Astyanax mexicanus: one gene and its partner. The protein of the gene in region 1 purifies or fractionates together with the protein of each later gene. This does not show direct contact. Links are inferred from orthologs where the notes say so. Each region holds a gene or a part of one and is shown in the gene's direction. Other genes may lie near its edges.

Region 1 (7,069 bases):
ACAAGGTAATAATTTGCAATTCTTTAAAACAAATTTAAGAAAAACTTTTATAGCATAAAAAGATCCTATTATATTAATAAAATCTGAGTAAAGGAAAAGTTTGATTGCTATCCAATCAGAACAGTCGGATCTGACAACAGAGTACAACACTTCTAACTGGTGCAAGTGGTTTAAACACAACACCAAATTGAAACACTGTCTACCACTAATCTTTACATGTAAACTGTTAGGAAACTAGTACCAGTAACTTGGCCTCTTCCTCTTTGAGCTGTTTGGCCTGCTGTCTCTGCTGCTCAGCCGCCATCATCTGATCCTGCAGAAAAGCCAGGGTGTGAAAGTTGCTCTCGCGCTGACGCTGAGCCTCCTGGATCTCGCGCTGCTCTTTGGCCAGTCGGTCGTTCTCCCACAGATTAGCGAACAGCATTTCTTCATCCTTATGCAGACGGCGTGCCTCGTCCCGTGTACGGATTTGAGCAGCTCGCTCCCTGCAGATCTCGTCCCGTCTGCGCAGGGTCTCTGCAGTCCTCAGCTCCTCACACTGCTCTCTGAAATACAAGCGGAGTAAAACACCCATGATTAATTAAAATAAATATTGTATGCCTTTTGCATTCACAGTGACATTCACAGTGACATTAGCACACATGCCTGGAGCAGTGGGCAGACATCGCAGCAGCATGTGGAGTTAAGGACCTACTGTAGCTTGACGAGCCCTGATTTCAAACCTATAATATAACTTCTGCACCACCACTACCCCTAATGGTCACATGTTATTAGAGTAGCAGGTTATTGATGACAGGACTGTGGCCCTTAAGCCCTTAAGTGACAAATGCCCACCACTCCAGGCATGTGTGCTCACTATATATCATTATGTGTTTCCAAAACCCTTTGCATGCTGTAAGTTGCCATTTACAGCATATCCTTTAGATACAGTTATGTTATGCACAGTTAGCAGTAATAAAAAAAAAAAAACATTTGTACCTAAAGAGCTGGTCAAGTTTCTCAGCAGCGACTTTCTGCCTCTCGCTCTCTCTTTTCTCCTGCAGATACTTTGCCCTCGCTCTCATTTTGGTTTGCCTCTCCAGCACAGTCTCGTTCTGCTCCTCTGTTGCCCGCAGAAATTCCCTCTCCTCTGATTCCAGCATCTTACGCAGCCTGTAAGAACAGTAATAGTGTGAAAGAAAAAGAATAAAAGAAGGAGAGAAAAAGTAAGAAACTACTCATAATAAAAGTACGGTAGTAGATTTTAATTAGTGTAAAAATGAACTGAGTTGAGAACCTTTCTCTCCTTTCATCGATGCTCATCTGATACTGTTCCATAGCCTCATTGACCCGCCTGTCAATAGTGGCCGACACCATCCGCTGTTCAGTGTTTCTTTCCCAAAGCATCTTCAGGTCACAGGTTTTCTGGTCCTTGGTGAATTCTAGCACCTTGTTTCGACTGACTTCCTGTTTCCTCCTCTCCAGAATAAAGTAATCTGGGGGTTTGGATGATGGATGCCGTGCCCTCTAAAATATTTTAAATAGATAATTAATCAATAATCATTAATAAGAAAAGACTTCACAATAACAAGTAGGGGTGGGACATATCGTTAGCGATATGAGGAGCTCTAAACTCATTTGGACTTGGCCCCCTTAATAGAATTACTTTTTATAACTGTTGTTTAAAAGCTTTTAAAAATTACATCTGCAGTTTTAAAACATTTGATACTGATTTGTGTTGAGAATTTTTTTTACATTTTTCATTATAAAAATTCTTGATTTTATTTATATACATATATTATGATGTCATATAAAACCCCAAAATATGACAACATGGTGAGGGAACTAGGGAATCAAATTCTGGGACTCCTAGAAGTTCTATGACTGAATGAATACCTGGTAGAGTTGTATGGAGCAGAAACAAAGCAAAATGCAGACTTTCTAAGAGGACACAGTTGCTAGGCTAACTTAGCTAACAAACACAGGACAATAGATTGTCACCAGTCTTACCATAGCAGCAGAAATGTACACGTTTTCTCATTCAATGTATTTTATATATTTTTTATATATTTTTTTACATTTACATTTAATAATGAAGACCTTATATCTACAGGAACACGTGATGAATTGTTCTTTAAACAAGTTTTAAACAAACCAGAATATGTTTTATAATTTAGAGTATAAACTCTAAAGTAGTACATTTATCTTTGAGTATTGAGTATCTTGGTATTTTAATCTCAGTGTCTTCATGAGGGAGTGTCACCTGGAAAAGTTTTCTCAGCGTCTTGAAGGAGTTCCTGGAATACATTACATTATATTAAATACATACAATAATTAAAAATGGGGTGTTTTAATTTGCCTCTTTGGCTTTTAGTGCTGTTTTTTTAGTGCAGTGGGCAGGGTTAAGTTATTTTTTCACTGGCTAATAAACTTTTTCTTTGGCTCGTTTATAGTCTAATCTATTTTTTGTTTTACTGTTTATTATGTTATTCCATATGTGTCCCTTAATTGTTTTTTTTGGCCATAATATTAATCTACAATGTAGAAAAAAACTTACAATAAATAAATAAATAAAAAACATTGAATGAAAAGATGTGTTGAAAAGTTTGACTGGTAAATTAAGTCTGTGAGAATTCTGAGTTTAAACTGTTGAATGGATTTTAAATACTAGATATGTAGCCACTGGCCTGCTGTAATATTTAATATCATATTTAAGTCATATTTATGTAATAAACCTTCCTGATCTAGTTACTGTTTATCAGAATTGAATAATAACACATTGGAGCCTCTGATAAAATAAGACAAAATAAACTCACCACTGCCACTGAGTGAGGGGTGGGTCCGGTGAACTCCCGGCACTGTGTTCGGTGTCTCTGACTCATCAGCATATTGACTAATTAGCTAATTATTAATATTACAAATCCTAAATTTTCCTAAGTATTGCTCTGGGGAGTTTAAACCTGATGGAGGACACTTCTGTTTGCGGTAATGCCCTTCTGTATCCTAGCAACCAGCGATACCAGAGATAATCTACAGAGGAGAATACCCCCTTATTAATGTGTTCTGGGTATGTTTGACACTAGAGGGCGCTCCTGATTGAGCCTAAAATGAATGAGTTCGTATGGAGCAATTAAACAAAATCATATTTGATCAATGTTTGATCGTTTTTATATAAAAAAAACTTTTTTTAAACACAAAACAATATAAAATAATTCAGTACAAGACACAACAATTGTAAAAAAATGTGTCAATAATATAAAAAAAATCCCAATTAATCGCACATTTTCTTCCTTAAGACCAAGCTTTTGATAATGGGTATTTAAAAGTTAAATGAATCAGTGTTAGAAACACTTAGATATGTATTATTGTTGCAACTACTTTAAATATAATTGTCATCAATCATGCTAGCATTATTTTTATTCTGGTAATTAACTGTATTTTTGGGAAAAAACTAAAATAATTCATTCAAATAATACGGCATAAAATAATATAATGCAGCAAAAAATATTGCAGAATATTTAGTGCATGCATATTGCCGCTGTCCAATAAAAAACACTGATCTCCAAAACAGAAAAAACCTTGTAAACTTTCAGTGGAAATCAATATAAAAAGAGTTTATTTCAGTGTGAGGGACAGGTTGTCTGTTCAAATTATGTAGTAAACTGAAAATTAACAAAAATGGAGATAAGTGTTTTTTTTTTCATAGGACAGCGCTGATATAAACTGCTAACTAAAACAATTATACAATAAATACACTTAAAACTTCACAGTAAATAACAGACTACTTTTAAGACAGAACATCCCTATCATCACAATATGGATTTTTAATATCACGATATTTCTGTGTCACTATATATGGTATATATAGGATTAAATAGGATTATTGTTTTATGGTGTATTTATGTTATTTTATTTTAGCCTTCAATCACTTTCTTTATTTTATTTTTTAAAATACCCATTTTCTCCCCAATTTTGCACAGCCCACTCATTAATCACTTGCTTCTAAACTTAATTCTGAATAAGACTTGTTGAGGCTTTTATTTTGAAAAGTGGTGGTACTGTATCGTGCTTCCTGTGAGCGCGTTGCTACTAAACGCGCCAAAGTTTGTTTTGCTGTGTGGCTGGAGGAAGCAGCGGATATATAATATACTCATTAATAAATCGTGTTTTCTGCGCTAACACGCGCTTATTATTTATATGGGAGAATTTCCCCTTAATCCACTACAGAGCTGCGGTGTGTGAGGTGAGTTAGATCAGCGCTGAGACTCAGAAACACTGTTTATTTAACTGCTGTTATACAGTCCGGCTCTCTGACTGTAACGTTATCTGCTGCAGATCACAGATCCTGAACTTCGTCTATATTAATACATATAAATAAATAAATATCAATTTAGGATAAATATTGAATATAAATATATAAGAAGGGTTTAATGGGTAACTGCCGGATTAGATTAATGTTAGAAAAAAGTGAGAAAACAATAGAAACTTTAATAAGAGAAACTCTAACGTTACAGGCTGGCCTCTCAAGAGAGTAGATAATCACTATCAATAGATAAGCTTAATATTGATAAGTTATTGATACGTCAATGACTGTACTGTATCTTAATATTGCAGTTAACTTACAGCATTATTACAACTGCATCTGTATATGTGTATACAAGTGCATCTCCAAAAAAAATAGAATATCATTGAAAAGTTACTTTGATTAAGTAATTCGGTTCAATATGTGATATATGTTATATATTATATAGATGTATTACGCACAGAGTGATCTATTTTAGGTGTTTATTTATGTTATAGTTAATGGTTAATTATGGCTTATGAAAACCCCAAAATCAGTTGCTCAGAAAGTTAGAATATTATATAAGACCAGTTGGTACTTTTGACAGTGTGGGCAGTGTGCCAACTAAGTCCTGCTGGAAAATAAAATCCGATATCTTACAGCCCTCATGCTTACTTCAGCTGACAACTTTTATGGAGATGTGGATTTCATTTTCCAACATGACTTGGTTGGCACACTGCCCACACTGCCAATTATATGATTGGGTTTTCATCAACAGTAAAATAATCAAGATATTTTAAAGTATTGTTGTGATAAACTTAGCAGATAAAGAAATCATTTTGTTGTCGTTTTTTGGAAACAACAATAACATTCTAAGATGATTTTGTATGAAATAAGTATGTAACAAAATAAATAATGTAATATGAAAATAATCTGATATAACAACGCAAATCTGCCATAATACTAAATTGTAGAATATGTATATTTAGTTTGTGTATAAACAACTATACAAAATATACCCTTTAAAGCTTTACATGGCAAAATAAATACAACAGAATACTCATTTAGAAACCTGTTTGTGGAGATTTCTGATCTAATGTTCTGGTTTTGTGTTCAGTGTCTGTTCAATTCAGATAATGGCTGTTCCTTTTGTTCAAGACTGGGATCTGGTGCAGACCCTAGGAGAGGGTGCATATGGAGAGTGAGTGTCCATCTGTGGGCTTTTTCTCTGTGCTGTCTGTTCTGGAACCATTAAAATGATTCTGAATATTTATTTTTTTATGCTGTTTTTTTCAGGGTACGCCTGTTAGTGAACAGAAAGACAGAGGAGGCAGTGGCTGTGAAAGTTGTCGACACATCCCGAGCTAAAGACTGTCTGGACAATGTGAAGAAAGAGGTTTGTGTGCACAAGATGCTGTCACACGCCAACATCGTGCGATTCTTCGGGCACAGGAGTGAGGGGCCCATCCAGTACATCTTCCTGGAGTACTGCAGTGGAGGAGAGCTGTTTGATCGAATAGGTGAGAGCAGAAAACATTGATTTAATGTTTAAATTAAACGTAATAAACCTTAGTCTGACCCTAATTAAATAATTGGTTAAAATATTATATTACATGTAATGTTTTGACACTTGGAGAAAAGGGAACAGCAGTGGTAGATTCCTAAAAACTGTTATTTTTCAGAGATTTGTCATATACTTAAACAGGATTTTCTACACTTTATGCAGTTAAATGTACAGCTGGGTCAGTGTTCTTTTGGCAGTGATGATATTCTTGATATGCTTTAAGGAAAAGCATTGTGAAATATGATAATATATTGTCATATTGCCCAACTTTTATTGGTGTTTGCATAGTTCTGTGGATCCTGAGAAAAATGCAGAAATAAATAAATAAACCAAAAGCACTAAAAACAAACACTATGATGCAGAAAAATGTTCCAAATCTGAAACTATAACATTTGGAGAAAATGTACAAATTGCAGACATGTTAGACAAAGCTTAAAGGACATATTATTCAAAAGCATCCAGTAATTTCTAGGTGAAAAATGTATTATATCAGGTTTAGTATATTCTTGTTTTTCACAGGATGCAACAACAGCATTTTTCCCAAAATTCCCATAATTCAGAGAAAACAATCTTAAACCTGGAGTTTCTAGTAATGGGCATGTAGCCGACTACAGAATGAAGGCAACTACAGGGATCAGCTGGTCTATTTAGCAAATATTTGAAGATAATTAAACATTTATATTTGTGTTGTTTCTCAGAACCTGATGTGGGAATGCCAGAAAAAGAGGCTCACAGGTTTTTCCAGCAGCTGATAGGAGGAGTGGTGAGTGCTGATATTTATTTATTATATTAATTATTTATTAGGGGTGTTCAATATGGTCCAACAATTTATAGCCCAATATTTTTCCGATGATTATATTTTTGACAATACAAAAAATCCTCTGATAATATTATATTTGATCTAAAAATATATTATGCCAACAAAATAAATGTCAAAGCTTTATTCAATGAATGTATAATTTTTGTCTATTTTGTAATCAGTATCTTACCAAAATTGATTTTGCACAAAATGGTAATGAAGTAGCAAAAAATCTATGAAAATATATCTGAAAGTTCCAGAATATTCAGTGCATGCATATAAACTGCTAACATTTTATATATAAACAATTATACAAAAATACCTATTTCATCACATAATACTGATATGGACTTTTAAATGTTATCTATAACGTCACATTATATTGTGTACAATTTATTATAGCTATTATATTTTTTTAAAACTGTAAAGCACTGTAACAGGTTTT
Region 2 (7,929 bases), on another chromosome or scaffold:
GCCTGGCAGAGGCCTAAAACTGGCATAGGCCTAAAACTGGCATAGGCCTAAAACTGGCATAGGCCTCTGCTGTAAAAAAAGAAAATCAAGAATCGAATCGTGACCCTAAAATCAGAAATAAAATCGAATCGAGGATTTAGAGAATCGTGACACCCCTAGTACGTAGTCTAATACACCCCATTCAGCTGACCAAGCTCTCCTGAAGGCAGAAATTAGATCAGGTCAGGGGAATAATTACTTTGTAGAGCTGAACATTTAAGCGGGAGCAGGGTTGGTGAATCCTATTAGATACATAGTCTTTTCTTTTGAGTGAAGCTTCAGTGTTTGTCTATTGTGTTTAGCAGAGGTTCTGTTAGAATAACACTGTGGCTCTTTGCCTTTGTGTGTGTTGGCTTTCCCTCAGGTGTTTCAGTGACCTCCAGCAACACTGGAGTCCCTGACATTTCAGGGTCTGTTTACACGAAGACACAGGTGAGTCCAGTATAAACAAATTCTTTATTATTTCTTTTGTGACACTTTTTTCTGTGTTTTTTAGTGTTGATCTTTTCTATTTTTCTTTCCAGTCATTTGACAAGCAGGGTTTCCACACGGGGACACCTGGCGCCTCCTTCAGTCTGCCCTCAGCATTGGGCAGTGGTGGTCCAATCAATCCTCCGGCTGCAGCTGGCTATGCTCCTGCCCCATTCATGCATATTTTGGCTCCCCATCAGCAGCCACATTCCCAGATGTTACACCACCACCTACAGCAGGATGGACAGGTGAGGAGCCACCATGACTATTTTAGAAACTCTCTGAAGTAATGCATAAAAAACCTGACCAATTGGTGGTTGCATTAAATTACAGAGAAGAACAATTGTTAATCACAGTAACTTTGCAATGAACAATATTGTATTTCATGCTATTATCAGTACCACTGACATAAATGGTCTTCGATGGCCATGATCTTACTTTGTTTAAAGAGCCTTAAGATTTTGATAATGTTTATGTTCATCCATTTAAATTTGAATATAAAAAAATAAATATCCTACAGACATAAAATATTTGCCTAGACTTAAACACCAGAGTGAGATCAGTTTGTTAATACATTAAACAAGGACCATATAAGTCCTATAAAGAGAGACCAGTCTGAAGTAGCAATGGGAGGTTAATAATTTTTTTTTATTTAATGTAATCCTCAGAATGGTGTAATAGAGATTGTACATCTTTATATATAGTAGCTGCAGAGAGAATCTCAATAGACATTTTGCTTCTTTTTTTTCCACAGATTTTCACATTGTACATGTTTCCTAAACTTAAATACAAAAAAGTTTCTGGTTGCACCATGTTTAATATTTATTTATTTTATTTTTTCTACAATATTGCCCAGCCCTTGTCTGAAGTTGAATGTCTGAATGACCCTGCAATTTTACTGTGGAAATTTAAGATTTATCAGACAAGGATTTATAAATTTTGTTTTTCCAGCTCCATCATGTCCACTCCAATAAATCCTGCGTAGTCTTTTGCAGTTGTAGCCTGTCCAACTTGAGGGAAAAATGTGTTGTGAATTTGAAAACATCTTTTACAATTTTGGCACCTCAAATCAGTCTGACAGAATTTTCACACTCTATTTACATCTATAGATGTGCTGCTCTGTTTTTCTTCTTCCCTTTTTTTATTATCGGTCTGTGTTTTAAAGTGTCTGTTTCTCTATCTCTCTCTCTCCCCACCCATCTGTTTCAGAGTGGCTCTGGACAGCGCAGTCAGAATGCTTCCATTCAGCAGAAGTCCCAGATCAACAAGTCTGCTTACAACAGCTATAACTGGGGAGGCAATTAACCCTCCCGATATTCCAATGTGGTGTACGACAGGCTAAATTAGGGGACCCTTTTCTTCCTCCCTAAAAAAGAAAAATAAATCCCCTCTTTGCGCCCTTCTTCCACTGCCCCTCTCGCCTCTCCCTGTCTAGTGTCTCTGCAGTACCATCTTGCACCAGTGGTGGTGCTGTACTAAGAGGTAGCACTGTGGAGAGGGGCAGGGTGGCCAGGGGAGGAGGAGTCTTAAAGAGGAAGGGGTTTGGAGGGTGTATGGTTCTAGTAACTTAGGCCTTCAAGAGCCAAGTATTGAGTGTTTGGAGTTTGTATTGTGTTAAAAAAAAATGCCCCAACCCCTTCTCTCGTTCTGTCATATGTAACATAGAGCTGTTTTCTAAAGGTTTTTTTTCTTATGGATGTTAATTTTTGGAAGGACTGGGGATAATGGGAGAGAAGTTGAGGGTTTTTGTTTGGGCGTTCCTCTGTTGGTCTCTCGCTCGCTCTCCCCTTCTTTCCCACTCTTCTCTACTTTGCACCCTGCTTGGGCTATCAGTTTTCAAACCCAGATACACCATCTTAGTGGTTGTGTGTGTGTTTGGGTTTTGTTTCCCTATCTTTTTTTTTTTTTCTCCTTCCTTGTTAGGTTTTTACCAATTTTTATTTTTGGGGGGAGGTATTGCGCTAGATCGGCTAAAGCAGTTGTGGAGTTTATTTTTTACCAAATATAAATATATAGATATATAAAAATGTATACGAGGGCACAAATATGTTGGATATGTTTCAAGTGTGGGAGTGTTCTTTTTCTTTTCTTTTTTTAAGTACTTTTTTTTTTTTTTTTTGTTTTCTTTGGTTTTCTCCCCTACATACACGAGTCTCTAATAAGGGTGGCCATTGGTGTGTGAATGTTGGACTCACTTAAAATAAACCCTTTGAGCCCGTAATTATTGTACAGGTTTGGAATGAAGAGGACACTGGTCATATGCATACTCGAGCTCCTTTCTATGAAGCATCCCAGTGTATTGTTTTCCCTTATTTTTCATCCCGTTGCTCTGTTTTGTGTGGGTGGGAAAGGGTAGGATAACCTGGCATGACTTCTGGCCTCAGAGGCATCACAGCGTCTCTGCTGTTGGACAGATGCTGTGAACTGGACAGGTCAGAATATCCGTAGGTCGCTCTGTATGTGCAAATATGTTGGCATACATTTTGTTTTTGTTTAATTTTATTTTTTAATTTTTGTTTTCTTCTGACATTATACATTGCAATCTTCTCCCTCTCCTTAGAGTCATCACCTTTCCCCAAATATTATTTTATTAATATTATGATAATTAGGAAAGTACTGATGGAGAGAATTGTATTATGGGTTTCCTTTTTTGTCAGTGACTTTTCTTTTTGTACTGTGCGTTTTAAAAAAAAAAAAATTAAATGGATAAACTTGTCTTGTACATATATATATAAAAACACAAGTACTGTAGTCCATGTTTGTTCAATGGCTTTTTTCCTCCCCCTCTCAATTCACTTACACACAGACTAAACATTTTTGTTTCATAATGTTTTTTTTATTTTGTAAAAAATATATATATTATAAATATTAAGTAAATAAACAGGAAAAAGACATTTTCATCATTTTGGATGTGAATGTCTTTTTTAAGAAAAACACTTTTCTGGATGTCCCATGCTTTCTAAACAGTCCTCACTTCTGTGCTAATCTGAAGAAGATCCCAGATTTGCTCAACACCTGGACAGCTCTTGCTTTTACCTTATGTTGCAGGTTTGGGATTTGCATGTTGCGTTTCATGAAAAAAGGTATTTAAAGTGATTTGACCACACTAAGTACTTGCTTTTTTGGGTTTCTTGGTGTGAACATTACCAGTGTGAAATCCTGTCAATCTACCACAGTCTGATGTGTGGGTCCACCCATCCCTATATATGTCAAATACAAACCAGCTCTTAATTTTTGTAGTGTAAACTGTCTTTCCATATCCAGTATCGACTTAAAATTTTTAGTTTTCCCTGTGCTAATATTGGCACAGCAAATCAGTTGAAAAAAAAAAAAAAAAAAAAAAAAAAAAGTTCTACAATTATAACTCTGTGGGGTTACAGGGGGTGTAAAAGTGATTGACAGCTTGAATGCTAGAGACAGTTTACAGACCTGCATCATGCCCCTTCTGATTTACCTGGAGTAGCTGAATTCTAAATGAAGACCTGAGTCTGGTGCTGTACTCATTTTTTTTTTATGGACTGTACTACTTGATGTGCAGTGCAGTGCACCCATTGTGGATTCTGAACTCTGGATTAGTGAGGTGGTTCTGACTTTCCATGTAGGAAATCAAACTGTGTGAAGAACAGTGTTCTAGTTTAAATTTCTTACAGGTTTCCACACTTTGAAAACAACTGACATTTATAGACAAATTTAACACAGACTTTAGTATTTTAAATTTCAATTAAAAGTCTGGGTATTCTGCTGCTCTGACAAATCCAGAAACTAGAATCAAAGTTAATAAATATCAAATGTTTAATTATTTTATTATTTTAAAGTTTTTAAACTCCAGCTAGAAGACTTAATGCTCTGGCTGTAAGTTCAACATCAGCTCGTCTACCAGTATTACCCTGTTGAAACATGGGAATATACAAGTCCTTTACTCACGCACATTTTATAAGGAAAAAAAAAAATGCCATTACCAATATAGCTACTCATGTGCTTTTCAATATTTACTTTTTCTATTTACAACAATCTAACGTGGTTAAATAGAAACATCAATAGGCAAATGTCACGATTAATATATCCAGCAACAAAACTATACGAAAATAAAGAAAAAACACTTTTCAAATGGTGGGATTTGAAAAGCTTCAACGTACCAATGGATTTATTATTTTTTTATATATATATATATATATTAGTTGAACTCCTTGTTTACCAAGGTGTGTATAATTATCTATGTCTAAATAAACATGTTTGAAATTAAGGGTATTTTATTTTATAAAATTGTAATTGTAATTGTATAATATTTACCTTTTATATACGGGGATAAAGAAGTGGGCGGGATCTCCGTGCTGCGCTACGTCACTACCCCCTCTAGTCACGTGACCTGGTTGTTTGACGGTGGTCGGTTGGGCCGGTTATGGCTGCTCTCTCTGCGCTGCTCTGAGTTTCAGGGGTAAATGAGCGTCTTTGATCTGTTCCGCGGATTCTTCGGGCTGCCCGGGGGGCAGTACGGTGGACACGGTCGCAGGTGGGTGGAGTGGTTCTGTGTTTCTGTCTGCGGGAGAAAGAGGCAGCTGAACTAGTCCGTGTGATGAAACTCAGAGAGCCTGACAGCAGCTCAGCGCTATGTCATCATAATAAACAGAGGAGAGCGAGAAAGTTCCACAGCGAGTTAGCTACAGTACACTAGACTAGCTTAGCCTAGCCTAGCCTAGCTTAACTATACAGAGTTTCACATCATAACTGACATTTAATAACAGAAACAAACCCCCAGACTCTTAATTACACAAAACATTGTAAAGAAGTGACCGAGGAGTTGAACCTTCAGATAAATACAGACAGCTAAGCTAATTAGCAAGTAAGCTAACTACATAGCGTTCCTAACACTTTCAGTCTGTTCACCTATCTCTGCCATCAGATCATGACAACACTAATAACAGCACATTAGCCCCAAATAACACTTAAATAACAACATAATTAGAGGGTTTTCCTTATTATTACTATTATAAACTCGAATTACTGATCTCTGACCTGCAGGTTTTACTAGAGCTCCACTTTCCCTAATCAGCTATGCTCTCTGTACTGTAGTGAAGATCATATTGCCAAGCAAACTTATTCTGAACACACCTTTGAGTAGTGATATTATACTATTGATTTACATTTACAATTAAAAAACAAAGTTATAATAGTAAATAATAATAAAATTAAGTTAGTAAAATTTTACTAAGTAAATAACTAAATTAAATCCATAATAAAGTTTTTTGCTAGTTGATGTCTAGTGCAATTTTAGAGATTGTGTATTGTTTTAGAGATAATGTTATTATTACTAGTCCCACCTAGAGACACAGTAATTACCTATATGATGGAAAACTGCACATATTCGAACTGCACATTAATACTAGACATATCAATCAATTAATCAAGCTTTTTTTTCTCTCGGAAATACATTGAAGGTAACCCTCATTTACAATGTAAATGTAAATTTACAAAGTAAAGTAAAATGATGAGAAATAAAATGAATATTAATGAACTAAGAACATATGAATCAAAATAAAAACATTAGAATAAAAAAATATTAGTAATACATAAATAAAAAAAATAAATAAATTAAAATAAAATAGGAAAAAGATAAACTCATTAAAAAACTCATTTAAAACAATCACAGGCTTTCTGATTGTGATTAGAAACTATTATATATTAAATAATTCTGTTATTCCAGCGAGCTGAGCTTCAACGTTTCCTGTAAATTCTAGCTCGCTGGTACACTGTAGCTAAAAGCAGATTTTAAGTATATTGTGAAATCTGGGATTTTAATATATATATATGTATAGTATATTATTACTAGTAAAACTAAAGTCATAGCTGACCTGTGAAATGAGAGTTTTTAATAGTAAATGATAGTAGATTCTAGTAAATGGAAGTGACATTTTAGTTAATAAAACTGTTGGTCATACACAAAGTAACCTTACTTTTGTAGTCACTTGTTTATGTCTGGCTGGCTGGCTCCCTACAGGTACCAGTCTGTTTTCAGTGTGTGGTTTAGTTGTTCTAGAACAGTTTCTGTTCAGTCTGTTAAACTGAGTTTTTTTAATGAGCTTCTCTCAGCAGGGAGCCCTTCTTCGATGGAATGACCCACGATGAGGAAGATGATGATGATGAGGATGCTGTGTTTCTGTATGAAGATACGAGCCGCCCGGGGGAAGAAGATCTGTTAGACGAGTCTTTCCGGTTCGGGTTCAGTCTCGGACCCAGCGGAGTGCGCATACATGAGCCGCCGGGGTTCGGGCAGATGTTCAGGGAGATGGAGTTGATCTTGGAGGGGCTGGGCCGCTTTGGAGGAGATGCGTTTTCTTCAGGTGTGTCGAGTAATGAAGTAGAAATGCTTGGTTACCTCACTTTAGTAGACATTTTTGTTATCTGTGCTTTACTGTAGAAAATTATTTTTCTGCTGACTTTTTACTTCCATATTTTATAGTGAAGAATAGATTCTACATATCTATAATTCAACCTGAACAATGAATGTTAATTTTTTTCTCACCATTGGTTGCCTGTATCTCATTAAGTGGCAGCAGTTGGCTCGTTCACTGTTTCCTGCAGTAAAAGGAAAATATGCCATCTGCTGGCTGTGATGAAAATCGACGGTAAACAGGACTATCGGTTGAGAAAAAAAAAAATGTAATCGCCCAATTTTCTGGGATTACTTGTAATTTCTTCTTATAACAAATATAATAAAAATAATTGATATTTAAATGTAAAAAAAATATAAAAAGTCAATGTAAGGTTATAAAAGGTGAAATTTTATTTTTAATTAAATATGTTCATTTAAAGGCGTTTTCACACCTTTTAGGTCTGGTTAAAAGGGACTCTGATTTGTTGTCTAATTGTATATTTTTTCCTTTAAACACACCTTGTCCTTTGTGAGGCATGTTCAAATATTAGATGGCTATAAAAAAGTAAAAAGAAAGAGGAAAAATAAGGAATAGAAAGAAGGAAAGGTTTTCTTTGATGACCAGATTATTAGATCATATTTTTTTTGCACAAATGAAAAATAACTTAAACCTGGAAAAAAATTTTAAGCATTATGGCTGTGAATATAGTGTAACAGCGCATCAGTTTTCTAAGCTCCTACAAGTGAATGCAAACTACAAAACCCACAATTGGTGCCATAAATATATGTGTATATACAGTCACCTAGTAATTGGTTAAAAATTCCAGTTAGGGCCTTCCTTGATTTTTGACACTCATTTTTCCAAGGAATTGTTAGAAACATTCCTTAAGATTGTAGTCCAACTTTTCGTGGTTACATCACACAATTCCTACAAATTTCTCAGAATAATTGTAGACTGCAAATCTCCTGTTTTACCACATCCCACAAAATGTTTTCTGACTAAATAAATTTCCTTGACTGTCGAGGCCACTGAAGATCACTAAACAAAA

Evidence for each region.
Region 2: the proteins of chek1 (region 1) and hax1 purify together in Homo sapiens (affinity purification with mass spectrometry; 3 studies listed by BioGRID and IntAct, with this or other methods). This does not show direct contact. The link is inferred for Astyanax mexicanus from reciprocal best matches to the Homo sapiens genes CHEK1 and HAX1.

What each region holds. Positions count from the first base shown.
Region 1 is NC_064424.1:6,593,599-6,600,667, forward strand, and holds the start of chek1 (serine/threonine-protein kinase Chk1), read left to right. Parts: upstream 1-4,058; 5' UTR 4,059-4,222; intron 4,223-5,378; 5' UTR 5,379-5,397; coding exon 5,398-5,462; intron 5,463-5,557; coding exon 5,558-5,781; intron 5,782-6,523; coding exon 6,524-6,588; intron 6,589-7,069. Other genes in the region: cfap53 (cilia- and flagella-associated protein 53), read right to left, coding at 242-545, 979-1,152, 1,277-1,506, 2,796-2,867. UniProt on the Homo sapiens protein: Serine/threonine-protein kinase which is required for checkpoint-mediated cell cycle arrest and activation of DNA repair in response to the presence of DNA damage or unreplicated DNA.
Region 2 is NC_064410.1:27,049,146-27,057,074, forward strand, and holds the start of hax1 (HCLS1-associated protein X-1), read left to right. Parts: upstream 1-4,866; 5' UTR 4,867-4,949; coding exon 4,950-5,020; intron 5,021-6,597; coding exon 6,598-6,848; intron 6,849-7,929. Other genes in the region: ubap2l (ubiquitin-associated protein 2-like), read left to right, coding at 388-471, 564-758, 1,720-1,815. UniProt on the Homo sapiens protein: Recruits the Arp2/3 complex to the cell cortex and regulates reorganization of the cortical actin cytoskeleton via its interaction with KCNC3 and the Arp2/3 complex. Slows down the rate of inactivation of KCNC3 channels. Promotes GNA13-mediated cell migration.